7 linked regions of the Macaca fascicularis genome follow. The protein of the gene in region 6 purifies or fractionates together with the protein of the main gene of each other region. This does not show direct contact. Links are inferred from orthologs where the notes say so. Each region holds a gene or a part of one and is shown on either strand. Other genes may lie near its edges.

Region 1 (3,968 bases), on a different chromosome or scaffold from region 6:
GTGGATCACCTGAGGTCGGGAGTTTGGGACCAGCCTGACCAACATGGAGAAACCTCATTTCTACTAAAAATACAAAATTAGCCGGGCATGGTGATACATGCCGGTAATCCAGCTACTCAGGAGGCTGAGGCAGGAGACTTGCTTGAACCCAGGAGGTGGAGGTTGTGGCAACAAGAGCGAAACTCTGTCTCAAAAAAAAAAAAAAAAAACAAAAAACAAAAAACAAAAAAAAAACGACTAGCAACTAGCAACCTAGGCCGGGCACAGTGGCTCACCTCTGTAATCCCAGCACTTTGGGAGGCTGAGGCAGGTGGATCACCTGAGGTCAGGAGTTCGTGACCAGCCTGGCCAACATGGTGAAACCCCGTCTCTACTAAAAATACAAAAATTAGCCGGGCGTGGTGGTGGGTGCCTGTAATTCCAGCTACTGGGGAGGCTGAGGCAGGAGATTTGCTTGAACCCAGGAGGCGGAGGTTGTAGTGAGTGGAGATGAAACCACTGCACTCCAGCCTGGGCGACAGAGCGAGACTCCCTCTCAAAAACAAACAAACAAACAAAAAAGACTAGCAACCTCCTCCTCTCCAGCAATGCCAACCCCAGTCCAGGCCCCCATCCGCCCAGGATCTCGATCAAGAAACATTAATCCGTGGCCTTTCTTTGCCATTTCCAACTCTGCCACCTCCATCGCACGACAAGGTCCCCTTCTTCCTTCCCATTCCCGTCAGTTTCCCTAATCTCCGTACAAATCCCTAGCCTGACTCCCTTTCCTTTCCATCCTCACCAGACACCCGCATGCTGGACCTCAAAAGCGCAAACGCTAAAACCCGGTTGAGTTGACGCACGGAGAGAAGGGGTGTGTGGGTCGGTGTGTGTGTGTTACTGTGTGTGTGTGCTTGTGTGTGGAAGAAACCAACAAGGTCCACGCTGGTGTCCATTTCTGGAAATGCCAATCGCGCCCGACTGCGGGAGCCAGGATCAGGTCCCCAGGGCGCCCTTGCAGACAGCACCCTGAGCGAAGGAGCTCAGAAGGCAGTCCGGCTTCACCCAGACCCCCAGTCCCGCAGAAGCCCCGTCCCCCAGCGGCACAGCACCCCCTCCCCGGCGCGGTGGTAGGGCCCAGCGCGACGTCACCCATTGTTTACAAATCAACCCGAGCCGGCAGGATTCCGGCTCCCGCGGCTGCAGGCGCGCGGCTGGAGTGACTGGCGGGCTCCGGCTTCCGCGTCCGCCACGGCCCCTGCCCCGGCCCCGGCCACGGCCCCGGCATCGTCTTCAGCTCCGCGCCCGCTCCGCCGCGGCCCACCGCACCCGCCGGCAGTCGAGCCCCCAGCGACGCCCGCACAGCTCCGGGTGCCCGGACAGGGGGCCATGCCTTGCCGGAGGGAGGAGGAAGAGGAAGCTGGCGAGGAGGCGGAGGGGGAGGAAGAGGAGGAGGACAGCTTCCTCCTGCTGCAGCAGTCGGTGGCGCTGGGCAGCTCGGGCGAGGTGGACCGGCTGGTGGCCCAGATCGGCGAGACGCTGCAGCTGGACGCGGCGCAGGACAGCCCGGCCTCGCCGTGCGCGCCCCCGGGGGCGCCGCTGCGGGCCCCGGGACCCCTGGCTGCGGCGGTGCCGGCGGACAAGGCCAGGCCCCCGGCGGTGCCGCTGCTGCTGCCTCCCGCGTCGGCTGAGACTGTGGGCCCGGCGCCCCCTGGGGTCCTGCGCTGCGCCCTGGGGGACCGCGGCCGCGTGCGGGGCCGCGCTGCGCCCTACTGCGTGGCGGAGCTCGCCACAGGCCCCAGCGCGCTGTCCCCACTGCCCCCTCAGGCCGACTTCGATGGTCCTCCGGGTGCTGGCAAGCAGGGCGTCCCGCAGCCGCTGTCGGGTCCGTGCCGGCGAGGATGGCTCCGGGGCGCCGCCGCCTCCCGCCGCCTGCAGCAGCGACGCGGGTCCCAACCAGAAACCCGCACAGGCGACGACGACCCGCACCGGCTCCTGCAGCAGCTAGTGCTCTCTGGAAACCTCATCAAGGAGGCCGTGCGAAGGCTTCATTCGCGACGGCTGCAGTTACGTGCAAAGCTTCCCCAACGCCCGCTCCTGGGACCTCTGTCGGCCCCGGTGCATGAACCCCCTTCACCTCGCAGCCCTCGCGCGGCCTGCAGTGACCCTGGCGCCTCCGGGAGGGCGCAGCTCAGAACTGGCGACGGCGTTCTTGTCCCTGGCAGCTAACACGCCCGGGGTGCCCACAGCGCCGGCCTCAGACTAGAGGGCAACGGGTTCCCCTGAGGGCTGCAATTCTGCTCAGGCTGGTGGAGAACTCTGGCTTTTGGAAGTGGGAGAAAAAAGCTAAAGACGAGGAACAGAAAAATCGCGAATGTTTCGCGGGTAACTGGGGTTGAGGGCCAAAATATTTGAAATGCAGAACTCGGCCCTATTTAAGGCGGATTTTACAGAGCGCACCCCAAGCTTACAAGTTAGTAGGATTCCTTATTTGGAGTGACCCGACCCAGCCGCGGAGCGTGCAGTTCCGCGCAGCCTCTCAGTGCCCTCCAGCCCCGCGACCATGTGGCCACAATCCACGCTTCTCCGGATCGCGGCGCGCCGGAACTACTGAGGATGATGCCAGTTACTTGCTTTACCTTTTCAGGGCTGGCTCCTGATCCACTTTGGGGGAGGGGAACATGAGTAGATAATTTCAGGGTGCACCCCAATCTGCCAGACTTGAATATTTTCAACACTTAAAAAAACCATCTTGTGTCTTTGGAGGTGCTGCTTAATATCAAACACGCGGTGCCATGAAGGGACCCTTTGAGGGTTGAATAGGAGTTAACCCCTGCGCTCCCTTTGCAACTGTCTGCCTTTCTCAGAGTGGTGGGGGAAAGGCTGTACGACACGGGTGGGGACAGGAGGTGGGGGCGGGGGGTATTGAATGGTGATGGAAGGGTAGAGAGGCGCGGAGTGAACCCCACGCGCTCTCTAAAGTGTATTTTCACAGCCGGCCTGCCTCTCCTCGGGTTCAAGGTCACTGTTTCCTGGGCACGCACTGGGTTGCGGGACAGAGTAGCCGGATTCTGCCCGTGCTCGGAGAAGAGCGCAGTGTTTTTTGCAAGTGCTGGAGTCTCCTGAGGACACGCGCGCCGCCGCCACCGCGGGTGTGGGAAAGCGCGGACGTGCTGGGCGTCTGCTTCCCTAGGCGACCACCGCCCCTGGCCGCGCTCCGGGCTTTCACGGAAACTCCCGAGACGGAGCCCCGGGTTCCTCCTCTCCCACTTGGCTCTGCTGTCCTACTCAAGCGGGTGGCTCTGGGATCCTGGGGGCCTGGGTTGGGGGCTAGGGAGACGCCATGTGATGGGCACTCCAGGGACACACAGCCTAGCACAGCAGCTTATAATGGGCTCTCTGGGGCCATTTGCAATAACAGCTGCAATTCCCTGGATAGCGGAGTTGATTTCCTCCCTCTGCCCCTCCCCCAGCCATGCCAGCTGGCCTTTGTAAGTGCAGGAAACCGAGTAGAAAATGTGACCCTCCAAATGGAGAAGCTGCAGGCTTTGCCATTGTGAACCATGGTGAAGTGCTTGGAACATACTGTTCACTCACTCTAAAGGCGCTGAGACTGTGCTGTTGTTCTCGTTTTTATAGTCAATGGCTTGTTCATCATCCAGATGTGGCTACTGACATATCTACACTTCGCACCGGAGTGTCTGGAATTGTGGCTATCCTGATTATAGGATTTTAACTTAACTGAAATGCCTGCTTTGAATAAATGTGTTGGGTTTTTTGTTTGGTTTTATTTTATACTTGCCATCGGTGAAAAAGATGTACAGAACACATTTCTCTGATCTCCATAAACATGAAAACACTTGAAATCCCTGTCAGCCTGGCTTGCGGATGGTAATTAGAGCGCCTTTGTGTCTGAGCAGCTCACTAGCTAGACAAGGTCTCCGCAGCTGGGTGTGTATTGGAGCTGGCATGAAATTAAATGAAAGTGA
Region 2 (3,500 bases), on a different chromosome or scaffold from region 6:
TATCTAGAGGCCAGAAGAGGGATGGAGGAAGAATGAATTGAACAAAATAAGATTGGTATCACTATTACCCTCACTTACATGCAGGGAAACTGAGAATTCGATGATCAGGTAACTTGCCTAAGGTCATAATTTGCATGAAGCGAAACTGACACTAAGCCCAGAGCTGTCACCAAAGCCAGTGTTCTAAATCAATATATTATACTACCCCTAACACAGGAGAAAGAGAGGAGATGGTAGAGTAGACTGTGAGAAAAGGACTCCTGGCTGGGCATAGTGGCCCACACCTGCAGTTCCAGAACTTTGGGAAGCTGAGGCTGGTGGATCACTTGAGTCCAGGAGTTCGAGACCAGCCTGAGCAATGTAGCGAGACTCTGTCCCTACAAAAAATACAAAAAAAATTAGCTGGCCATGATGGTGTGCCTGGAGCCCCAGCTACTTAGGAAGCTGGGAGGATTGCCTGAACCAGGGAGGCAGAGGTTGCAGTAAGCTGAGATCATGCCATTGCACCACTCCAGCCTGGGCAACAAAGCAAGACATCTCAAAAAAAAAAAAAAAAGAGAGAGAAAAGGACTCCTGTTTCTAAGCATAGGGGCAGCCTGGACAATGGTAGAGTCATTAGAAATCCACACAGCTGGCCGGGCGCGGTGGCTCAAGCCTGTAATCCCAGCACTTTCAGAGGCTGAGGCGGGTGGATCACGAGGTCAGGAGATCGAGACCATCCTGGCTAACACGGTGAAACCCTGTCTCTACTAAAACTACAAAAAATTAGTAGGGCGTGGTGGCGGGTGCCTGTAGTCCCAGCTACTCAGGAGGCCGAGGCAGAAGAATGGCGTGAACCCGGGAGGCGGAGCTTGCAGTGAGCCGAGATCGCACCACTGTTCTCCAGTCTGGGAGACACAGCGAGACTCTGTTTCAAAAAAAAAAAAAAAAAAAAAGAAATCCACATAGCTTCGAATGAGCAGCACAGAGGGGAGAAGATTCAGGAATGTGGAAGAGGTACTTCTAATGGCCAAAGCACCCTTTTCTTCATGAAAGGATTAGTAAGAGCCACTATTTACAAAGTGCTTACTCTGCTCCAGAAGTGTGCTTTACACATGATATTATGTTTAATGATCATAGTAGAATTAGCAGTAGGTACTATTATGCCATTTCCAGATGCAGAAGTCAAAGAGTAAGACTTGCCTTAGCTCAAAGAGTAAGAGGCAAATCTAGAACAGAAAAACGCATCTACCTGACTTTAAAAACTGCAGTTCTTGGCCAGGTGCAGTGGCTCACGCTTGTAATTCCAGCACTTTGGAAGGCCAAGGCGGGCGGATCACTTGAGGTCAGGAGTTCGAGACCAGCCTGGCTAACATGGTGAAACCCCGTCTCTACTAAAAATACAAAAATTAGTCGGGCATGGTAGCGGGCGCCTGTAGTCCCAGCTGCAGGCTGAGGTGGGAGAACTGCCTGAACCTGGGAGGTGGCAGTTGCAGTGAGCCAAGATCACACCACTGTACTCAAGCCTGGGCAACAGAGTGAGACTCTGACTCAAAAAACAAACAAACAAAACTGTAGTTCTTTTCATAATGACAAACCACCTTACACTGAATGAAATCAGATTTGCTTCCTGGGGAGAAGGCAAAGGCAAAGGCAAAGGGAGGTGGGAAAGGGCAGACATACCTTCTATGAGAGCAAAGGATTATCTGGCTGTATTCTGTCTTTAGCAGTCCTCACAGAGCCTAGGCCACCCTCAGAATCCCTGAATTGCCTTAAGCCCACCTTTTTTTTTTTTTTTTTTTTTGAGACAGAGTCTCTCTCTGTTGGCAGGATGGAGTGCAGTGGCGTGATCTCGGCTCACTGCAACCTCTGCCTCCTAGGTTCAAGAGATTCTCCTGCCTCGGCCTCCTGAGTAGCTGGGACTATAGGCACGTACCACCACTCCCAGCTAATTTTGTATTTTTTAGAAGAGATGAGGTTTCACCATGTTGGCCAGGATGGTCTCAATCTCTTGATCTCATGATCTGCTCGCCTCAGCCTCCCAAAGTGCTGGGATTATAGGCATGAGCCACCATGCCCAGCCTTAAGTCCACTTTTAAATTCTTCCCTAGGCTAATCAGTAACCAGCAGAGGAACAGAAAGGAGAGGAAGTAGGAAAGATAGCCAAAAGGAAGATCAGGAAAGAAAACAAATCTGGATCTAGATCACTTCATTACAGAGTTTGCATGATACAGAATAATTAATCCCTGCATAGTAAGTAGCAGAAAAGGTCTCTCATATTTCTAATTTTCAAGGCAACAGCATGATTCCAGGGGTGAGGAATTAATGATTAAACCAAGAATAGAGTTTTGTTTTGTTTTTTTTTCCCCCAATAGAGATGAGGTCTTGCTATCTTTACCCAGGCTGGACTCAAACTTTCCAGCTCAAGCAATCCTTCCGCATCAGCCTCCCGAGTTGCTGGGACTACAGGCATGTGCCACGGTCCCTAGCTCAAGAAGGGAATTTTAACTACAGATTTGTAACATTTCCTTCTAACTAGATTTCTTTCAAGTTCTTTCAAAGTATGAATTGAATCTTTAGTTCTTTTTGGAATTCACCTTTTCGCAACAATGCTATGATTAAGGATGTTCACTAAAAAAAAAAAAAGAATGAAAAAAAAAGGATATTCATATACAGAGAGAATGGGAAAAAGCAGAAAGGGGAGGAAACAGGTCCAGAAACAGGTCAAGGGACCTCGTGTAAGTATGTTAATATAAGAACCTAAGAGAGGTCCTTATAGGACAGCTGTAGAGCACAGAGGTACATACAGGTGGACTCTGTAAGGCTCTTAGGTTGGAGAAGGGACACAGACTCACCGTTGTTCGGAGTGCCACATGGGGACAGAAAATAGCCAACTGCCGCACTGGCTCATTGTGAGTGTTGAAAAAGATAGTCATGGCGACCAGGACATCGTAGCTGTGAGCCTGGCAGAAAGCATGGAGATCTGCAAGGAGGTTAGACCTCTCCAGAAAGGCCTGAAAGGGAAGAAACGGAGAGGGATGAAGGACTTTCTCATCATCATCAATAAAACATCCTTGGGCTAGGCACGGTCACTCATGCCCGTAATCCCCGCACTTTGGGAGGCCAAGGGGGGCGGATCACCTGAGGTCAGGAGTTTGAGACCAGTCTGACCAACATGGAGAAATCCCATCTCTGCTAAAAATACAAAATTAGCCGTGCGTGGTGGCGCATGCATGTAATCCCAGCTACTTGGGAGGCTGAGGCAGGAGAATCGCTTGAATTCGAGAGGCGGAGGTTGCAGTGATTCCAGATCGCACCATTGCCCTCCAGCCTGGGCAGCAAGAGCGAAACTCTGTCTCAAACAAACAAACAAAAACAAAAAAAATGCTGATAATGTATGTAATGTGCCTAGCGTGTTCAAGGCTCTCCGGTTCTTGCAATCAAACAAGGAAAGTCTTTGCCTTGTGGGTATTTTTTTTTTTTTTTTGAGACGGAGTTTTGCTCTTGTTGCCCAGGCTGGA
Region 3 (3,500 bases), on a different chromosome or scaffold from region 6:
GCCAGTGAGAGGGAGCTCTACATCCCATCTGTGGATCTTCTGACTGCCCAGGTGGAAGATTCAGCACTTTGTAGGGCAAGGGACAGAGGGAGAGAGCACAGGAGAGAAGGTGGTAGAGCCATAGGCGGTAATCAGGAAATCAGAGATATGCCCACTTTGATCTAGTCCGGTATATTTAATGGGAAGGAGATCACCCATGGAAGCAAATTTGTAAACTAGATGTTTCCTCTTTGAATTGGGAACTCAATCCTGTACTTCCCCACAAACTCCCTTTAGTGGCCTCTTCACTTTGGCCTAGCTGATTCTCCTTTTTACCTGCTGCATTTTCTCTTTCCTGCCATTTGGTTATTTCAACACCTAATTCCTATTTAACTCTTCCTTTTTTCACTTGTCTGGAGACAGGCATGAATTTGAACAGAGTTGAATACAAGACGATGTGGAAATGGTCTACAGATCCCATCAAGACGTGGCTCCAGCATGCACTCCAAACAGCCTAACATTGTCTGTCTTTTTTTATAGGACCTGCTGTCGTTTGAGCTGTTGGATATAAACATTGTTCAAGAGTTGGAGAGAGTGCCCCATAACACCCCTGTGGGTAAGAATGTCACTCATTTCATCTTGTTCATCTTACTAATAGGCACACAATACCATAGCCTAGACGCTGGTAGTGTTTTATTCTGAGGAAATGGCAAGGAATTCTCCCTCAGTAGGACAGTAAAGCAGCAATCATGGATCCGTTTTCTTTCTTTCCTGACCTTTCTCAAAAGCAACAATATGCTGGGCATGGTGGCTGGTGTCTATAATCCCAGCTCTTTGGGAGGCCAAGGCGGGAGGATCACTTGAGGCCAGGGTTTGAGACCAGCCTGGGCAACATGGTGAAACCCCCATCTCTACAAAAATTACTTTAAAAAATTGGCCGGGCGCGGTGGCTCATGCCTGTAATCCCAGCACTTTGGGAGGCCGAGGCGGGCGGATCACGAGGTCAGGAGATCGAGACCATCCTGGCTAACACGGTGAAACCCCGTCTCTACTAAAAATGCAAAAAATGGCCGGGCGCGGTGGCTCAAGCCTGTAATCCCAGCACTTTGGGAGGCCGAGACGGGTGGATCACGAGGTCAGGAGATCGAGACCATCCTGGCAAACACGGTGAAACCCCGTCTCTACTAAAAAAAATACAAAAAACTAGCCGGGTGAGTTGGCGGGTGCCTGTAATCCCAGTTACTTGGGAGGCTGAGGCAGGAGAATGGTGTAAACCCGGGAGGCGGAGCTTGCAGTGAGCTGAGATCCGGCCACTGCACTCCAGCCCGGGCAACAGCGCGAGACTCCGTCTCAAAAAAAAAAAAAAAAAAAAATGCAAAAAATTAGCCGGGCGAGGCGGCGGGCGCCTGTAGTCCCAGCTACTCGGGAGGCTGAGGCAGGAGAATGGCGTGAACCCGGGAGGCGGAGCTTGCAGTGAGCCGAGATCGCGCCATTGCACTCCAGCCTGGGCGACTAAGCGAGACTCTGTCTCAAAAAAAAAAAAAAAAAAAAAAAAAAAAAAAAAAAAAAAAAAAAAAATTAGTTGGGCATAGCCAGGCATGGTGGCTCACGCCTATAATCCCAGCACTTTGGGAGGCCAAGGCGGGTGGATCACAAGGTCAGAAGTTCAAGACCAGCCTGGCCAAGATAGTGAAACCCCATCTCTACTAAAAATACAAAAATTAGCCGGGCATGGTGGCAGGTGCCTGTAATCCCAGCTACTCGGGAGGCTGAGGCAGAGAGTTGCGTGAACCCAGGAGGCAGAGGTTGCAGTGAGCTGAGATCTTGCCACTGCATTCTAGCCTGGGTGACAGAGCAAGACTCCATTTCAAAAAAAAAAAAAAAAAAGAAGCAATGATACAAGTTTGTGCAAGGCTTTTCCACTGTAAAGGAATCCTCTTCTCTTTTTTTCTCTAGACATTTTGTCCTTTTGTTCCTTTATATTCTTCTCTTTTTTTCTCTAGACATTTTGTCCTTTTGTTCCTTTATATTCATGGTTTTGTATCTTGGCCATAGCTTTCCAGGCTAAATAACTGTGATTCTTTCTGCATTGATTGATCTGAGATATTTTGCATACTTATTGGTCTGGAGAAATTTTCTGTAAGAGACCTCAAAGCATATCTTGGTTTATTTTAGTTCTGCAGGAGGCAAGAAGCCTGCTAAGTGCTACTTCTGGACACTGACTATTGATGATATGATGCTTTCTCTTGATTGATGGTTCTCCTCTCTTCATTCTCCAGATATGACTCCCTGCATGTCTCCTCTGCCACATGACAGTCCTTTAATAGAGAAGCCAGGCTTGGGGCAGATAGAGGAAGAGAGTGAAGGGACAGGATTTAAAGCACTTCCTGGTAAGGGATTAAATATTTGTAAAGTATTTACATCCTTCCTTTCCATACCATACTCTATTTTACAGCTATCCCCTACTGACCTTACTTAGCATGTAAATGGGCTTTCTTTCTATAGCATCTCATGTTTTGCCTCACCTTCACGTGGCACAGATAGCAGCTATTCCTTGGTTTAGTTTTAGCATGGGTAATGACTGGTGAACATTCCTCAGCACTTTAAACACTAAGTGCAGACAAGGTTCATATGTCTTTCAGATTCTACAGTGTCAGTAAAGAGAAAGACTCAGAACATTGCTTCTGTGGAGGAAGCAGAAGAAGACCTGAGTGGGACCCAGTTTGTGTGTGAGACAGTAATCCGATCCCTTACCTTGGATGCTGCCCCAGACCACAACCCTCCTTGCAGACAGAAAACCTTGCAGAGTGAGTGTCCTTGCATTTCCCCCACCTAGCAGGGTGACACCTGAATCGTGACTGCCAGACTTGATGAGTTAGATGTGCTGTTCTTCACTGAGAGTGAAAGGAGAGTGAATCTTTGTTAGAAATTCTGATCTTGTTTGTGTCTTTAGACTCTACATATGCTACCTGACTGTTCTAATTAGAGCATCAGGAGCAAAGAAGCCACCATACTCCTTTTTCCGTCTTCTCGGGCAGAATTACAGCTGCACTCCACAGTGGAATAGCAGCCAGTTGTGCTGCCTGGATTCTGCAGTAAGGAATCTTCCTGTAATTTGACAGAGCTCCTTAGCAAAGACCCCTCTGGGTAGCTGAGTTGTCTGCTTTCTCCAAGGGCAGCAGTCCCAGAAACAGTGGATAGAAACAGGAGTACCAAACAAAGTTTCTCAAGGTTAAATTCTGCTGTAATAAATGCCTTTATAGGCCGGGCACAGTGGCTCACGCTTGTAATCCCAGCACTTTTAGGAGGCTGAGGTGGGTGGATCACCTGAGGTCGGGAGTTCGAGACCAGCCTGACCAACATGGAGAAACCCCATCTCTACTAAAAATACAAAAAATTAGCCGGGCGTGGTGGCTACATGCCAGGGATTACATGCCTGTAATCCCAGGTACTCGGGAGGCTGAGGCAGGAGAATCACTTTAACCCGGGAGGCAAAGGCTGTGGTTAGCTGAGATTGCGCA
Region 4 (3,500 bases), on a different chromosome or scaffold from region 6:
AAATAGATTAAGTGAAGCAGTGAATTTCAAAATTTGTGCAGGGGAAACTAGTTGATAATTTGTTTCCAATAAGGCTAGTAGCAATTAATTACTACAAAGTTTCTCCAAGCTAGTAGTGAACCCCTGATTTAGCAGGTTGAATCAAAGTGTATAGTTAGGTAATTCTAATTCCTCTATTACTGTGCAAATCTAGAATTTCCTATGTAAAAGACAGTGCTAGCAGCATCAAAGCCCTGTAATAAGAGTATGAAATACTGATTAGGATTTGAAATGAAGAGATATTATATGAAGACATGTGAATGTCTTAATGATGGTATCATAGCAACGGCCTCAGAATTCCCTTACTGAAACAGAAACTAAGACAAATCATTATTCAATAATCTTCTGAGCCAAAAGCCTAAGTTGAAAGCAAGTGATAAAAACACAAAACCAAAGATGCATTTTCTATGACCATATGCAAGAATTTCAAGCTTTATATCAACATTCTGTACCAGCACCAGCCCCTCTGAAAGGAAAAAGTGTAGTCATGACTGTCCATCCCTTTTCAAAGCTTCCAGTCTTTGAAGGAGTGCGTTTCCAAAGGCTTCCCGGTAGGCGGGGCTGAGTGTATCCAACAGTGAGTAGACTGTTTCGTGGTAGGGAGTCTGTAAATGATCATCCACCTGGTCAAAAGCATAGCCTACCACCTACAAGAGAAATGCAACAGTGAATTCATTAGTTTTCATGCTGGTACAGAAAACAAAATCCAAGTGTTTACGTGAGTAACTATCCTTTCAAAAAAAAAAATTATTTTTTTTTCCTAGCCACTAGACCACCAGATACATGGATAATTATTGAGTGACACTATTTCTCAATCAATGTCAGAGTATGCACATTTTAAAAACAACCTTTAATACTTCAGCAACTTACAATGTGTAACACAGAAACACCACCACTAAAATGCTCCCTATAGAATTTTCTTTAAAATTTAAAAGGTTTTACTTAGAATCTCAAGGAAATGCAGAATTTGAAAAGCTACACAAAAACCATTTTCATATTCTAAAACATGCATCTATTATTTACCCTATTTAATTCCACATATACTGAGGGTCCACTATATTAAGTACTGTAATAGGTAATATGTTAGTTCATATTTTTGTAATAGGTAATATATCATTGGTTCATATTTTTATCATTTTTTACTCCTTTTATAAATAGAATTATAGAAATTATTCCTAACAATTTAGTTTTAATAATTAGTTGTTAATTTTAATAACTGTTTTATTAATTGGTTTAATAATTTAATTATTCATTTTAATAACTGCTTAGCTTTATTATTAGTAATCTGAAAGGCCACTTTCACCTAATATATTTCTTATCTGACAGGGAATAAATGCTCAACTCTGTGAGATAAAAGGGAATGTTACTGTGTTTTCTTTTTTCTTGGTAGGGGTACACTATTTCTGGAAGTATTGCAATACCAGGTCGATGAGTGAAGTGAATGGAGCAAAAGCCTATTCTATCTCCCTGCTCCAAAAATCCATTTAATATATTGTCCTTGCATAGAGGATATAACAGATATTAAACTGATAAGAAGAGATACTCCAACTGATCTAAGTCAAAAGGCTGAGAGGTGATTTTTTTTTTTTTCCTGTGACCACAGCTACAACTTTTCTTTCTGACAAGATTATAAGGTATATCATGGTTCACCATCACAATATAGGGCAAAATTAATTTAGTTTTTGCTGACTTAAGTTTGTACATTCCCTATATAAATCCTAAATTTTTATGACATCTACTTAAGCCATAGAAGGTGAAAGTTTATGTTAGAAATAGAAGCTGAGTTTTTTTTTTTTTTTTTTTTTTTTAATGAAAAGCAGAGGCAGACGCCTAAGGAAAATGAATCACACCTCTTCAGATCCATGCTCGATTACTGTACTCTCTACAGTGGAGTACAGTTCAGTTTGCCTTCTTCCTCTTATCACTGTTAGACTGTGATCTTCCTGGTGGACAGGGATCATGTCTTATTCATGGTTTGATTTTCAATTGCTGACACAGGATAGTTGCTCAATAAATGTTAACTGAATCAGACTGAAAAACAAATACTTGAGCACCTACTACATGTCAGGTTTTACAAATGGTTCAGATTTTTCTGTATCACACCATCATATAATCATTCCCCAAATCATTTTAAGTTTTTGTAAATCTCCAAGTTATAGATTAAGAAGTAGGAACTCTCAGGGGTAGACAGATTCACCTAAGATCATTTAAATTCACATTTAAGACTGCTGACTCTCTGATCAGAACTCCTTGTATCTCCCCAGCGCCAACTTAGAATTAACCAACACAAGACAGAATTAGCTTACTAATTCTGTCATTTATCTCTACTTCTGATTTAGGGTTCGCCTCTAAACACTCTGAGCTTTTAGTACAAATTTAAGGATGTGAAAAGAAGTGCACAAAAATTAGTTAATTCAGGTACTATGCTTAAAGTTAAGCAGCTATCTTTCTGGCAGCTGTGAGGAAATTGAGGGTAGTACAGATGCTGGCCTTGCAATTTGCTCCATCAAGGAATATACAGTATACACGACTCATCTTCAGCAAACTGAATCCAGTGAAGTAAAGAGATGTTTATGTACTTAAGATAATATCATGTGACATTCTTACTTGCTTAGGTAGGCCTAGCTCACCACCTTATGATAATGTACAATTACTTTGAACAAATATAGAAACACAGAAATGTATGACATTTGTTAAGACTGAAGATTCATTGATTAGTAAGGTTAAAACTAGATTTTAGATTTTCTAATGTCTATCCCGTTGTTCAGTAGCTCAAAGGTTTTTATAACAGTTTTTTTTTTTTTTTTTTTAAACAGGGTGTGTGTACCCAGGCTGGAGTACAGTGGCCCAATTCTAGCTCACTGCAACTTCAGACACATGGTCCCCCTCCTAAGCCTCCCAAGTAGCTGGATTACAGGAAAGTGCTGCCATGTTGGGCTAATTAACAAAATATATATTGTAGAAACAGGGTCTTGCTATGTTACCCAGGCTGGTCTCGAACTCCCGGCCTAAAATGATCCTACCAGCTTGGCCTCCCTAAGTGCTAGGATTACAGGCAAGAGTCCACAGGCCTGTCCTATAGTTTTTTCTTTTTTAATTAAAAGTTGCTCTCAGGTGATGTTTTCTACTATTCTAAACTCATGATTTTGGTTTAAAGAATGGAAAGGTTAATCTGCCTAGAAGAGCTCTCATAATAAAGAGATACTCATAATAAAGGGTTAATGGGACACTCTTGGAAATCTGGGGGTGGAATGTTCTGCTCTGATTTATTTCTGATCTAAGAGTTGGAAAACAGTGTTGTCAAGTATGTTATTTTAACAGAAGAGACATTTCCAAGGGGTTGACGAAGATCTTTTCAACACAATAACTGCAAAACCCATTCAATGCAGAGAATGTATATATAATTTTGGTGAACACATTCAGCTATAGATGAGAAATAAATTAGTTTTGGGGGTCATGAT
Region 5 (3,500 bases), on a different chromosome or scaffold from region 6:
GCCGGGCGCGGTGGCTCAAGCCTGTAATCCCAGCACTTTGGGAGGCCGAGGCGGGCGGATCACAAGGTCAGGAGATCGAGACCACAGTGAAACCCCGTCTCTACTAAAAATACAAAAAATTAGCCGAGCGCGGTGGCGGGCGCCTGTAGTCCCAGCTACTCAGGAGGCTGAGGCAGGAGAATGGCGGGAACCCGGGAGGCGGAGCTTGCAGTGAGCCGAGATCGCGCCACTGCACTCCAGCCTGGGCAACAGCATGAGACTCCGTCTCAAAAAAATAAAAAATAAAATAAAAAAAATAAAATAAAAGTGACATCCCAACCTGGTTGCCCTTTTGACATTATCATTACTAATTATACTAATTATAACACTTTGCGGCTGTTCAAAACGTTTGTCTCTACAAAAGGCTTTCATGTTTATTATTTTGGTCCTAATAACAATCCTATGACACAGACAGAAGGAATGGTGCCCACCTATTACATGTGGTTCAGAAAGGCTTCAACACCCAGGTAGTAAGTGGTGGACCGGGCTGGAACGCAAGCCTTGGAATAACTCAGCAGACCTTTTGATATACTGTGCACACACTCGAATGTCTTGCACGTTAAAATGATGTTAGATCATCTGGCTATGTCTTAAGTTCTCTTTAAATATGCCCAGTTAAGACACATGAGCTTCAGAGAGTCCATGAAGATGCTTCATCTGAACCCAACAGTGGGAGGAAGCACACATGAATCTAGTATGGAAACTCTCAGGTCAATGACAAGCTGTCACCTCTTTACCAATGATGTCCACAGTTCACAGCCAAGAAGGCAGCCCTGGAAAACAGGAGCTTCTGCCCCTGCCTTCTGGATCTCAAAAGCTTCAGGAGTCGAATCCTGGTAATATCCCAGATGAGGCAAGCCCAGGCTGGGTCTCAATTGCCCACCCACAAAGGGGAGGGTTCACAGCAGAGCCCTGCCTGGGGAGAACATCCAAAACCACCTACTGCTATTTACAAAGGTGACACTCCGGTCCCGACAGTGGGAGACACAGAAGCCCCAGTCAGGAGGCCCCTGGAGAAGGAGCCTTTACCACGGCCCTTACGTAGTCTCAGCTCTGGCTGCCAGACTAGAGGGCAAGGAGGCCAGCGCCAGAGGCTTACCCAAATGTTTTCATAATGGTGCCGGCAGGCATAGCAGGTGCCCAGCGACTGACCCACTGCAGAGGCCAGACCCAGGGTCTTCCTCCCAGACAACCTGACTCCATAAGCATAAAGACGCTGAAACACCTCCCTGGAACCTGTGCTTCCTTGCAAAAGTCAACCTGGTTCCACTTAGGTGTAGACCAGATGTCTGAGTAAAACTGGTTCCCAAGCCACAAGCGCGCCCCCTGGTGGTTGGAGAACAAGCCCTTCCCCTCCTCGCCAACAGTCAACTCTCTCCGCCACCCCTAAAATCATGGCCCGCTAGGCTCAGACCTGGCCCCCAGAGAGGCTCAGGATCAACCATCTGGTGCCCACCTCTCTTCCTGCTGCTGAGCACTAGAGACCACACCCTACAGAGAAAGGGAAATCCAGAGGCAGCTATCAGATCGCATCCTGGGCCCCTAACACACAGAGAAATCCACACAGGCAGCAAGACACACCATTCAGAGAGCAGTCAAGTGCAGCCCCATTCCCTGCCTGTCATGAACCACACCCCAGAATAGAGAGGCTCATTCTCTTTTCGGATATCTGGAAGTCGGGAGGAGGGGAGAAAACAGAAAAACTCATTCTAACAAGAGGTCTGAAGTTGCCTCCAAAGGTCAAGAATCTTAAGACTTGGCCATTCTGCAAAGAACTATTTGTCTTTGAAGCCTCAAAGAGAAAGTACTCCAGGGCCCCAGAACTCCCGGGCCAAGATCTCTTCTCCATCAGCACTAACAAAATAATCAACTGAAGTCTGACCCTCGGACTCATGAGCATTTAAAACCTGGATTAATATGCCAGCAGGCTCTAAAGCTAAGGGTCCTTCATTCGGGAAAGTCACAGGACCTTCCCTAGTTAGAGGCCTTTCTTGCTGGGTAAATATCTAGTTCTACAAAGAGAACCACAAACTCAGTTAAGCCAATTGCTGGCTCTTATCTTAACAGAAAAGTTCAAAAAAAAAAAAAAATCCCACTTACCCCTCAATGGGTGCACACATTATTTCCTGTGCCTCCACCACAACCCAGCTGCCTCCCTAGCCACATTAATTCCACCCCCTACTGATTAGTGGTGAAGTGACCCCTTCCAAAACCAGCGCTTAGTGGATCTGGTGACTCAGAGGCATCAAAAGCTGCTGTCCTCTCTCTCTCTCTCTCTCAGCCGCTTCTGAGACACTGGCCCGGGATAATAAGTAACCCACATTAGTGAACACTCCTTGCCACTGTTTGATGTCAGCACTGGAAGACTGCAGGTATTTAGCCGTATGTTCATCACTTTCCCCCTCTTTAAACAACAAAAAGCAAGATCAAAAAGAGTTCATGGCCAGCAGTCCTAACTCTCAACAGACCTGTCAGTCTCTGCAGCACACCCATCCATCCACCCACCATACCTAAAACATCTGCAAAGTCCACAGCATCAGCCCACCCACCCTCGTCCAAGTCTCACCTGTATCCACTGTCAACAGTTTCCGTGGACCTCACACTCGCCGTCGCCCTCAGAGTTTTGCTGGACAAGCCAACCACAGTTGGCGAAAGTTTGCACTTGAAGTCGGCACAAGTCCACTCCTCTTCTTCATTCAAGGTGGGGAGATAGCCACACACGACCTTTAGGCTCCCGAGTCCCCCATTACTCATGTAAGCTGTGTTTTCTCCCCCACTCCTCACATATTCGAGGTATATATCAGAAGTCAAAAACATCTGGTAGGCATTTTCCTCCATCACCGACTGGATCTCGGTCTGCGCCTGGTCAAACATGATGGAATCAATCTGCTGCTTCTTGATGCCATCTCTTATGTAGGTCTTGGTGGCAGGCTTCAGCTGCTTGGAGACAATGCTGTTGTTCTCAATGTACCTTTTGTAGATCGCTTTGGCTACTCGTAAAGTTTTGGCATCCTTCAGGTTCATCTGCCTGAAGCCATTGCAGGCAAACCAGAAGTCTAAGGTATCCACGCATTTCTCCCTCTCCAGGAAAGTCCGGAACAGGTAAGCACCGTCTTGATCGCCCAACAAGGAGTGTAAGGACTTGGTCCACCGGGTCAGAGGGGAATCCGGAGATGCCCGCCCCTCCGGCTCCCCCAACCCGTCTTCGTTCCGCCTGGTGTTGGAAGAGACAGGCACAGGTTTGGTGACCTGGCCCTTGCCCACCCCTAGCTGACACGGTGGGGTCTCCCCTTCTTCCCCTGGCACTGGGGGCCGCGGGGCATCCTCACGGAAGCTGCTGCTGGGGTCCGGGAGGCGAGTCACCAACATAGCGCTACTCATGGTGAGGGAGCTCTTCCCACAGAGTTTGGGAATTTTTTTTCTTCCTCTTCCAGTTCCTCTCAGCAATCGGCGTGGTCTCT
Region 6 (4,011 bases):
ACTTTCTCTTCTGGTCCATGGCTCTGAAACCTAAGCCTCCAGCTCTCTGGCTGGGGTTCTCCCACCAGTCACACCAAGTCCCCAAACCTCCCTGTCCCCATCCCGCCCAAGCTACCTTGAACCTCTTGTCCTGGAGAACCTTCTTGATGGCGACCAGTTCCCTGGTCTCTGCCAGCCGTGCCTGGTACACGACCCCAAATGAGCCATTGCCAATCACTTTGATGTCTGTGTAAGCCACCTCTTGGGAGCGCTCTGGACCTTGGCCTAGAGTGGCTACCACTGTGGTCACCTTCCCGCTGTCACCTGGGGAACAAAGGGGATACACGATCCACTGACCCATCCTGTCTGCGCATCACCCCATCCTGGGGCTGTAGGAGGAAGGGAAATCTCTGCAGGAAGCTCGTTGGGGACCTCTTTGTTCCCTCCTCCTCTTTGAGGAAAGGTGGATGCTGGAACCTTCCCAGTGACTTTTCAAACCCTCTTCCTTTCTGGGAACCTTAAATCCTGCCCCCCCTCCACATGGGAGGATATTGATACCTAAATCTCTCTGCTTCAAGGGCTGGCAACCCCAAATTTCTACTTCTAGGAAGCAATAGATCACTGGTCGTCTTGGTACTGGGAGACATCAGATGTTGACTCCATCTACTCTGGATCTACTGCCCTCTGGCCCCTCCTCTTTGGAGAAAGCTTGACCTGGCCTCTTCCACTTAAGGGAGCAGTAACCCTCAGGTACTCCTACTTCAGGAAAACACTAACCTATCTCACAGCCTAGAGGATACTGACCTCTAAGTCCTCCCCTGTAGAGCTGGTAACTTCACTGGTTCTTGGTGACAGAAATGAATGTCCTCTCCTGCTGTATGTACCAGTGCCCTGACCCTCACTTTTTGGTACTTTGAGGTTAGAAAAAAACACTGACCTGACCTCTTCATCTGAGTGGTCCAGAGACCCAGACTCCTCCCCGTATGTGGGTGGTCCCTAATGGACAAGCACCAAATTATGAGAATGATGAACCTGACCTTTATTATCAAGGGGCTATTCCAGCCTCAGTCCTTTGAAGGAAAGCTATAATTTCCAATTCCCATTATTCAAATGGTAGCAAACCTTGGTGCCATTCTTAAAGGATAGTGACCCCTTTGAGTAACTGATGAACCAAATCCATTTTTTCTTTTTTTTTTTCTTTTCTTTTTTTTGAGACACAGTTTCGCTCTCGTTGCCCAGCTGGAGTGCAGTGGCACGATCTCGCCTCACTGCAACCTCCGCCTGCTGGGTTCAAGCGATTCTCCTGCCTCAGCCTCCCGAGTAGCTGGGATTACAGGCGCCCGCCACCACGCCCAGCTAATTTTTTGTATTTTTAGTAAAGACAGGGTTCCACCAGTTGTCCAGGCTGGTCTCAAACAGAACCTCAGGTGATCCGCCTGCCTCAGCCTCCCAAAGTGCTGGGATTACAGGCGTGAGCCACCGCGCCCGGCCACCAAATCCATTTTGAGGGGCCAGTGACATGTTCTTTCAGAGGGAGATAACCCTACATCACTATTTTTTTCAGAGCCAATGACACCATACCTTAGAACAATTATTAAACAAGTATAACCTTAGATCCATATTTTATAGGAAACTGTGACCTACCCTGCTCCATTCCATTTTTGTTAAAGGAGACACACCAAGCCATGTATTTTAAAACATGGACTATGGACTTGATTTGAAGGATATGCTGACTCCCAATGTCTTTAAGAAGCAGTAACTATTAATTCTCACCATTGGGGGTACAGCTCAACAATATTTAGGGTGGGTAATGATGCCAGGTCTTGGTTTTAATAGGGAAGGTGATCTGAGTACCAGGTTTGGCAAGCCTGGCCTTATTCTTTGGGGACACAACACAGTAACCTCAAAGCCCTGCTTCTAAGTGATATTCACTCCAAATCCTCATCTTCTGAAGGACAGCGAATGCAGATCCCTCTTTTTCGCGATTGGTCTTATTCTTGTTCTCTTAGGAGACAATAACCCTAAATCCCCATTTGCAAGCGACTGTGACCTCTGATCCAATATTATAATGAGTAGCAACGTCAGATACCTGTTCTTAAGGCTCAAGGACCCAAGATCTCAATAATGAAAGAACAGGGACTTGTAACCCCTGTTTCTTTGAGTGTTAGTAATTCTGATCCAAGAGTAATTCTGATCTCCAAGAGATGGTAACCCCAAGACCCCTTTTCCTGGGAGGAAGAGGGCTCAGATCCCCGATTTGGGGAGGCATAGTGACCTCTGGCTCCTACCTAAGCATATGAAAGAACCTGATGGATGTCTGAGGAGCTTTGGGAACCCTGATCACCACCCTACACGGGCGCCGCTAGTACTCACGGCCCAGCTTCACCCCGGGCGGCGGGAAGCTAGTGCCTGCGCCGGGGCCTCCGCTGCCTCCGCCGCCGCTGCCGCCGGGTCCACCCCCGGAGCTCGAGGCCCCGACGCCCCCACCCATGGCCCCGACAGATGCCTTTCCGCCGCCGGTGCCGCCTGGGCCGGAGGCCGAGCCTCCGGGGCCGCCGCCGCCGCCTCCGCCTCCGCCGCCTGGCTCCGCGAACGAGCTGGTCCGCGCCCTGCCCGAGCCCCCAGGGCCGCCTCCCGAAGGCCCGCCGCCGCTCATGGCGCCGAGCACAGGCCCAGGCCGCGGGGCTCGGGCTCCCCGGGCTGCCCCAGCCGCCGCCGCTGCCGCCGCCTCCCCCGGGCTCTGGCCTCTTCCAGGCCGCGCCGCTCGGGTTTGGGCTCCGGCTCCGGCCCAGCGCCCGCCGCGGGGCACGCCGGGAGATGCAGTCCGGCTGTCGTCCGCGCCGCCGTCGCCGCCCTCGGCCCGCACAGAGAGCCCCGTGGCACGCCGGGAAATGAAGTCCACAAAAGCCTCAGAGTAGACCGCGGGAATGACGGGTCGCGCTATACGTCGGGAAATGGAGTCCAGGGTAATCTGTCTGCCGACGGTACGACGGGGAGCCCTGAAGTATTTCGGGAAGCAGAGAGCCTGATGCACGCTGGGAAACAGAGTCCACTCACTCAGTTTATTGGCTGTGTGTGCGTCCCAGAGCCCGGTGCGCTCTGGGAAATTGAGTCGGCGCGCGTGAACCTGCGGATCTCGGGCCGTGAAGCAAGCCGGGAAATGGAGTCATCGCCACGCCCTCACCGCATTGCAGGTGTAAAGCGATTCTTAAAGCACGCCGGGAAATGGAGTCCCAGGTGGTTTCTTAAGTCCCAAGTGGATACTGCAATTCCGGAGATGGGAGAGGAAATGGAGTAAATTTCGCGCTTCTCTTCCCAGGTACGCTAGGCCGCAGTCCCTGCCGGGAAGTGTAGTCAACACCAAGGCTTCAGTGCAGTTGCCACAGCGAGCCCTGGTGTGTTCTGGGAAATGGAGTTCAAGGCATCCTCCCCATTGACTGAGGGGGCGGGATCGCCCATGAGCTCCAAGCCTGCTGGGGAATAGTCCAGACCTGACCCTTTGTGAGGCCAGTTTGCGGAGGCTTGTCGGGAAGCGGAGTCCAATGGCCACCATCGGGGGCGTGGAGCGAAAGGTTAGAGACTGCAGTAGTTCCCTGGAGAGACTTAAAAGTGTTTCAGCCCCTCCTTCCTCGCCCCCAGGTTCTTCTTAAAGAAAGAGGCGAGGTCGATCAAGGACTGCTGGAAAATGGAGCCAAGCACCTTTAAGTTCCAGGTGACCATAGATCAAGAAAGAAAAAATGTCCCCTCTCTAACCGCAACTCTGCAAAGAATTCGGGAAACAAAGTTCCCGGCGGTTTCTCCGAACACTAACTAGTCTTCGGATACAGTCTAGCTTTTCCTAGCAATGTGGTTCGCACCAGGAAGCTGAATGGAGCATTAAAAAGACGGAAATAGAATTTCTGGGCCGGGCGCGGTGGCTCAGGCTGGGTGCCGGTGGCTCACGCCTGTGATCCCACCACTTTTGGAGGCCGAGGCGGGCGGATCACCTGGGGTCAGGAGTTCGAGACCAGCCTGGCCAACATGGCGAAACCC
Region 7 (3,500 bases), on a different chromosome or scaffold from region 6:
GCACGTACTCTGTCTCGGAGAGCTCCATGTCCGACACGGCTGGTACCACGCGCAGCACTGGCGCGCACGCTGGCCTGACGCAGGCGCGTCCCCGCCGCATAACCTCCTGCACATACCTAGGGAACAACCCGCGTCAATGGTGGCTGCGCCGGCGGCCACCAGCCCTGGGGAAGGAGCCTCGACCAATGCTGCCGCGCAGGGACAGACGGAGCATGAAGGGGCTGTACAACCTGCCCCGTGAAGGCTCCAGTTTGCAGGGTGGACAAGACACCAAACCCCCTCCTAGGCCTCAGTGGTGCCAGACACTGCAGCACACTCCACACTCACGATCTGGGTACCAACCCCCCTGTTCCCCAGACCGCACTTTGGGGAGCTTCTGATCTGGGGTCCTGGGATCCTACCACCTCATCCCCTCTGGTGGGACGCCATCTCCTCCCGAGAGCCTGTCCTTGGGTCTCTGGCATGAATTCCCCACCAATGGCGTGGACACTGGCTCTGGGGTGTGGCAACTCTGTCTGCACCTCAGGGAGGCTGAGAGCCCCCCGGCGCCACAACTGAGGCCATCCTGGGGCAGCACGGCAGCTCCTCTCACGTGGACACCTCCACCGGGGTGCACTGGGCGACCCTGATGGTAGTTTCTACTCTACAGCCCGACAGGGCCCAGCACCCGACCTGCCTCTGGGCCTTCACTCCAAGTCTCCACAGCTTCTCGCAAAAACATGTGTCCCCTGGACAGACAAACCCAGCAACTCTGGGTTTCCCCACAGCATCCAAACAGGGGCAGGAAGGTCGTGTCTCAGAACGGCGGCAATGGTTCCACGGCTCAGCGGGCATCCCCTGCCATCATGTAGGGCCTGTGGGTGCCCGGGGAAAGGGCAGATGCAACTCGAGAGACCCCTGCTCAGCCCAACAAGGGGGCTCAGGAAGCCCCAGCAGGAGAGCACACAGGCCCAGGGCCTTGAACCTGCTGCACATGATGCCCACCCCCGGCTCATCTGCCAGCCCGGTCACACGCCCCAGCTCCGAGCACCACACACCAGGCTCCTGCATGGCACGGGGCTCTGGCTCCTTGTTGGCTGAACAAGATCACAGGGTCACAGACGTTTGGCCATAAAGTGATCACCCTTTGGGTTTGAGGTAACTGTGACCCTCTCTGGCCCCAGAGCTGTCATTAGGCTGAAACTTTAATGACTTGAGACCACACAGGCTTTCGGCTGGGAAGGGTCTGAACCCTGATGCTGGTTTGGCAGAATAGGGCCCCTGGCCCCAGCCTCCCTGGAGTGGCACAGCCCCAAAGCTGGAGGCCCAGGAGGTGGGCCTGGACCCCAGGCCCCAGGTGACCCAAGGTGGACAGGAGGAGCTGGTGACCTCTGAAGGCAACCATGGCCTCTGTGACCACAGCCCCAGGGCCTGCATGAGCTACAGGCTCCCAGGACCCTCACAGAGACCCTGATGTGTGAGGAATTCCAATGACCCAGGATGGCCGAGAAAACTGGCCTCAAGAGCAAAAAGCTGAAAGTGGAGAAGGCAGGTTCTGGCCTGCAGCAAAAACGCTGCCGGAACAAAGGGGCGGCCTCGCTGCAGCCCAGGGAGAAGCCAGCCTGCTCTGGGGAGAGAACAGGGTCTGGCTACTGGGGCCCAGAAGGCCAAGGAAGGCTTAGCGAGGAGGGGCTGGGGGCTGGACGTCCAGGATGACAACTCTACATCTGCACAGGTTGCAGACCCACGTAGTTTTCCAACCGCGTAAAGCCACTCAGGGCTCGTGGGGTGCGATTGTCAAGAGGCAGCCGCCATGCCCCAGGACCCCTGTCTCAAAGCCCAGGCTGCCCAGCAGTCAGCAGCCTCTGGCTGGGACCAGTGTTCCCCACACACTGGGGCCCTGCAGACGCGGCTCAGGTTCAGGAAGGACCCCCCTCCACAAGAGCAGTGAGCACAGAGGCCTTGGGTGTGTGAAAGCTCCGGCCCCAGCCCTCCGTCCACCGCAGGGTCGCCTGCCACATGGCTCCTCAGTGGTTCTCAGTGGAAGGAAGGGCCCAGTATGGCTGGGCGACACCAGAGGGCCGTTTTTCCCCTGAAGACCTCAGGCCTTGGGGAGCTTCAGCCCTAGGAATGGTGCTGTGGTAACTCCCAAGACCCACCCCACCCCACGATGCAGCCGTACCTCTGTTTGGAGGGTGCCCGGCTGGCTCTCTTTTCTTCCTCCTCCAGACGTCGGCGCGCCTCCTCCAGCTGGGTTAGGGGGTTGGGAGCTGGGTGGGGTGGCATCGTGGGGTCTTGGATGAAGAGGTGGGAGGGCTGCACGGAGGTCCGGAGCTGAGGGCCGGCCCAGGGGTGCACGGCCCCGGGGCGCTCAAGGGACAAGGGTCTGGAGTTCTCATGGGGCTGTGGCTTCCTTGTCCCTGAGGACCTTGGGGAACAAGAGAACAAGCTGTGGCTGTGGCCAACACCCTGGCCAGGTGGCCTGGTGGGGCTACACCCATCTCACAAGGGTAGCCTCCTTCAGGGGTAGGATAGGATGGGCTACTGGGGAGGCCGGGCGCGGTGGCTCAAGCCTGTAATCCCAGCACTTTGGGAGGCCGAGGCGGGCGGATCACAAGGCCAGGAGATCGAGACCACAGTGAAACCCCGTCTCTACTAAAAATACAAAAAATTAGCCGGGCGCGGTGGCGGGCGCCTGTAGTCCTAGCTACTCAGGAGGCTGAGGCAGGAGAATGGCGTGAACCCAGGAGGCGGAGCTTGCAGTGAGCCGAGATTGCGCCACTGCACTCCAGCCTGGGCGACAGAGCGAGACTGTGTCTCAAAAAAAAAAAAAAAAAAAAAAAAAAAAAAAAAAAAAGGATGGGCTACTGGGGCCTGGCCACCAAGACACATGGATGTCCTCCTCAGACCACACAATAAAAACATCCCGGCCGGGCACAATGCCTCACGCCTATAATCCCAGCAGTTTGGGAGGCTGAGGTGGGCGATCACCAGAGGACGGGAGTTTGAGATCAGCCTAACATGGTGAAACCCCGTCCCTACTAAATATACAAAAGTAGCCGGGCGCCTGTAATCTCTGCTACTCTGGAGGCTAAGGCCAGAGAATGGCTCGAACTGGGGAACTGGAGGTTACAGTGAGCCAGGATCACGCCACTGCACTCCGGCCTAGGTGACAGAGTGAGGCTCGGTCTCAGAAAAAAAAAGACAACAAAAAACCATCCCTGATTTGCCTGTAATCCCAATCCTCTGGGAGGCCAAGGTGGGCGGATCGCCTAAGGTCAGGACTTCAAGAAGAGCCTAGCCAACATGGCGAAACGATGACTCTACTCAAAAAATACAGAAAATTAGCCAGGTGTGGTGGTGGATACCAGTAATTCCAGTTACTCGAGAGGCTGAGGCAGGAGAACTGCTTGAACCTGGGAGGCAGAGGTTGCAGTGAGCTGAGATTGCACCACTGCACTCCAGCCTAGGAAAGAGTGAGACTCCATCTCAAAAAAAAACAAAAAAAACAAAACAAACAA

What was found.
Region 1: the proteins of GSK3A (region 6) and FRAT1 purify together in Homo sapiens (affinity purification with mass spectrometry; 4 studies listed by BioGRID and IntAct, with this or other methods). This does not show direct contact. The link is inferred for Macaca fascicularis from reciprocal best matches to the Homo sapiens genes GSK3A and FRAT1.
Region 2: the proteins of GSK3A (region 6) and PRUNE1 purify together in Homo sapiens (affinity purification with mass spectrometry; 3 studies listed by BioGRID and IntAct, with this or other methods). This does not show direct contact. The link is inferred for Macaca fascicularis from reciprocal best matches to the Homo sapiens genes GSK3A and PRUNE1.
Region 3: the proteins of GSK3A (region 6) and NBR1 purify together in Homo sapiens (affinity purification with western blotting; 3 studies listed by BioGRID and IntAct, with this or other methods). This does not show direct contact. The link is inferred for Macaca fascicularis from reciprocal best matches to the Homo sapiens genes GSK3A and NBR1.
Region 4: the proteins of GSK3A (region 6) and GSKIP purify together in Homo sapiens (affinity purification with mass spectrometry; 7 studies listed by BioGRID and IntAct, with this or other methods). This does not show direct contact. The link is inferred for Macaca fascicularis from reciprocal best matches to the Homo sapiens genes GSK3A and GSKIP.
Region 5: the proteins of GSK3A (region 6) and AXIN2 purify together in Homo sapiens (affinity purification with mass spectrometry; 3 studies listed by BioGRID and IntAct, with this or other methods). This does not show direct contact. The link is inferred for Macaca fascicularis from reciprocal best matches to the Homo sapiens genes GSK3A and AXIN2.
Region 7: the proteins of GSK3A (region 6) and AXIN1 purify together in Homo sapiens (affinity purification with mass spectrometry; 12 studies listed by BioGRID and IntAct, with this or other methods). This does not show direct contact. The link is inferred for Macaca fascicularis from reciprocal best matches to the Homo sapiens genes GSK3A and AXIN1.

Annotation. Positions count from the first base shown.
Region 1 is NC_088383.1:106,269,572-106,273,539, forward strand, and holds FRAT1 (proto-oncogene FRAT1), read left to right. Parts: upstream 1-1,168; 5' UTR 1,169-1,368; coding exon 1,369-2,208; 3' UTR 2,209-3,758; downstream 3,759-3,968. UniProt on the Homo sapiens protein: Positively regulates the Wnt signaling pathway by stabilizing beta-catenin through the association with GSK-3. May play a role in tumor progression and collaborate with PIM1 and MYC in lymphomagenesis.
Region 2 is NC_088375.1:110,202,126-110,205,625, forward strand, and holds part of PRUNE1 (exopolyphosphatase PRUNE1), read right to left. Parts: intron 2,994-3,500; coding exon 2,835-2,993; intron 1-2,834. UniProt on the Homo sapiens protein: Phosphodiesterase (PDE) that has higher activity toward cAMP than cGMP, as substrate. Plays a role in cell proliferation, migration and differentiation, and acts as a negative regulator of NME1. Plays a role in the regulation of neurogenesis.
Region 3 is NC_088390.1:64,240,016-64,243,515, forward strand, and holds part of NBR1 (next to BRCA1 gene 1 protein), read left to right. Parts: coding exon 1-51; intron 52-519; coding exon 520-595; intron 596-2,258; coding exon 2,259-2,369; intron 2,370-2,621; coding exon 2,622-2,786; intron 2,787-3,500. UniProt on the Homo sapiens protein: Ubiquitin-binding autophagy adapter that participates in different processes including host defense or intracellular homeostasis.
Region 4 is NC_088381.1:164,445,629-164,449,128, reverse strand, and holds part of GSKIP (GSK3-beta interaction protein), read right to left. Parts: intron 1,618-3,500; exon of another isoform or gene 1,427-1,617; intron 687-1,426; coding exon 525-686; 3' UTR 1-524. UniProt on the Homo sapiens protein: A-kinase anchoring protein for GSK3B and PKA that regulates or facilitates their kinase activity towards their targets.
Region 5 is NC_088390.1:72,001,513-72,005,012, forward strand, and holds part of AXIN2 (axin-2), read right to left. Parts: 5' UTR 3,421-3,500; coding exon 2,606-3,420; intron 1-2,605. UniProt on the Homo sapiens protein: Inhibitor of the Wnt signaling pathway. Down-regulates beta-catenin. Probably facilitate the phosphorylation of beta-catenin and APC by GSK3B.
Region 6 is NC_088393.1:49,296,515-49,300,525, forward strand, and holds the start of GSK3A (glycogen synthase kinase-3 alpha), read right to left. Parts: upstream 2,801-4,011; 5' UTR 2,636-2,800; coding exon 2,353-2,635; intron 304-2,352; coding exon 116-303; intron 1-115. UniProt on the Homo sapiens protein: Constitutively active protein kinase that acts as a negative regulator in the hormonal control of glucose homeostasis, Wnt signaling and regulation of transcription factors and microtubules, by phosphorylating and inactivating glycogen synthase (GYS1 or GYS2), CTNNB1/beta-catenin, APC and AXIN1.
Region 7 is NC_088394.1:1,044,197-1,047,696, forward strand, and holds part of AXIN1 (axin-1), read right to left. Parts: intron 2,408-3,500; coding exon 2,162-2,407; intron 117-2,161; coding exon 9-116; intron 1-8. UniProt on the Homo sapiens protein: Component of the beta-catenin destruction complex required for regulating CTNNB1 levels through phosphorylation and ubiquitination, and modulating Wnt-signaling.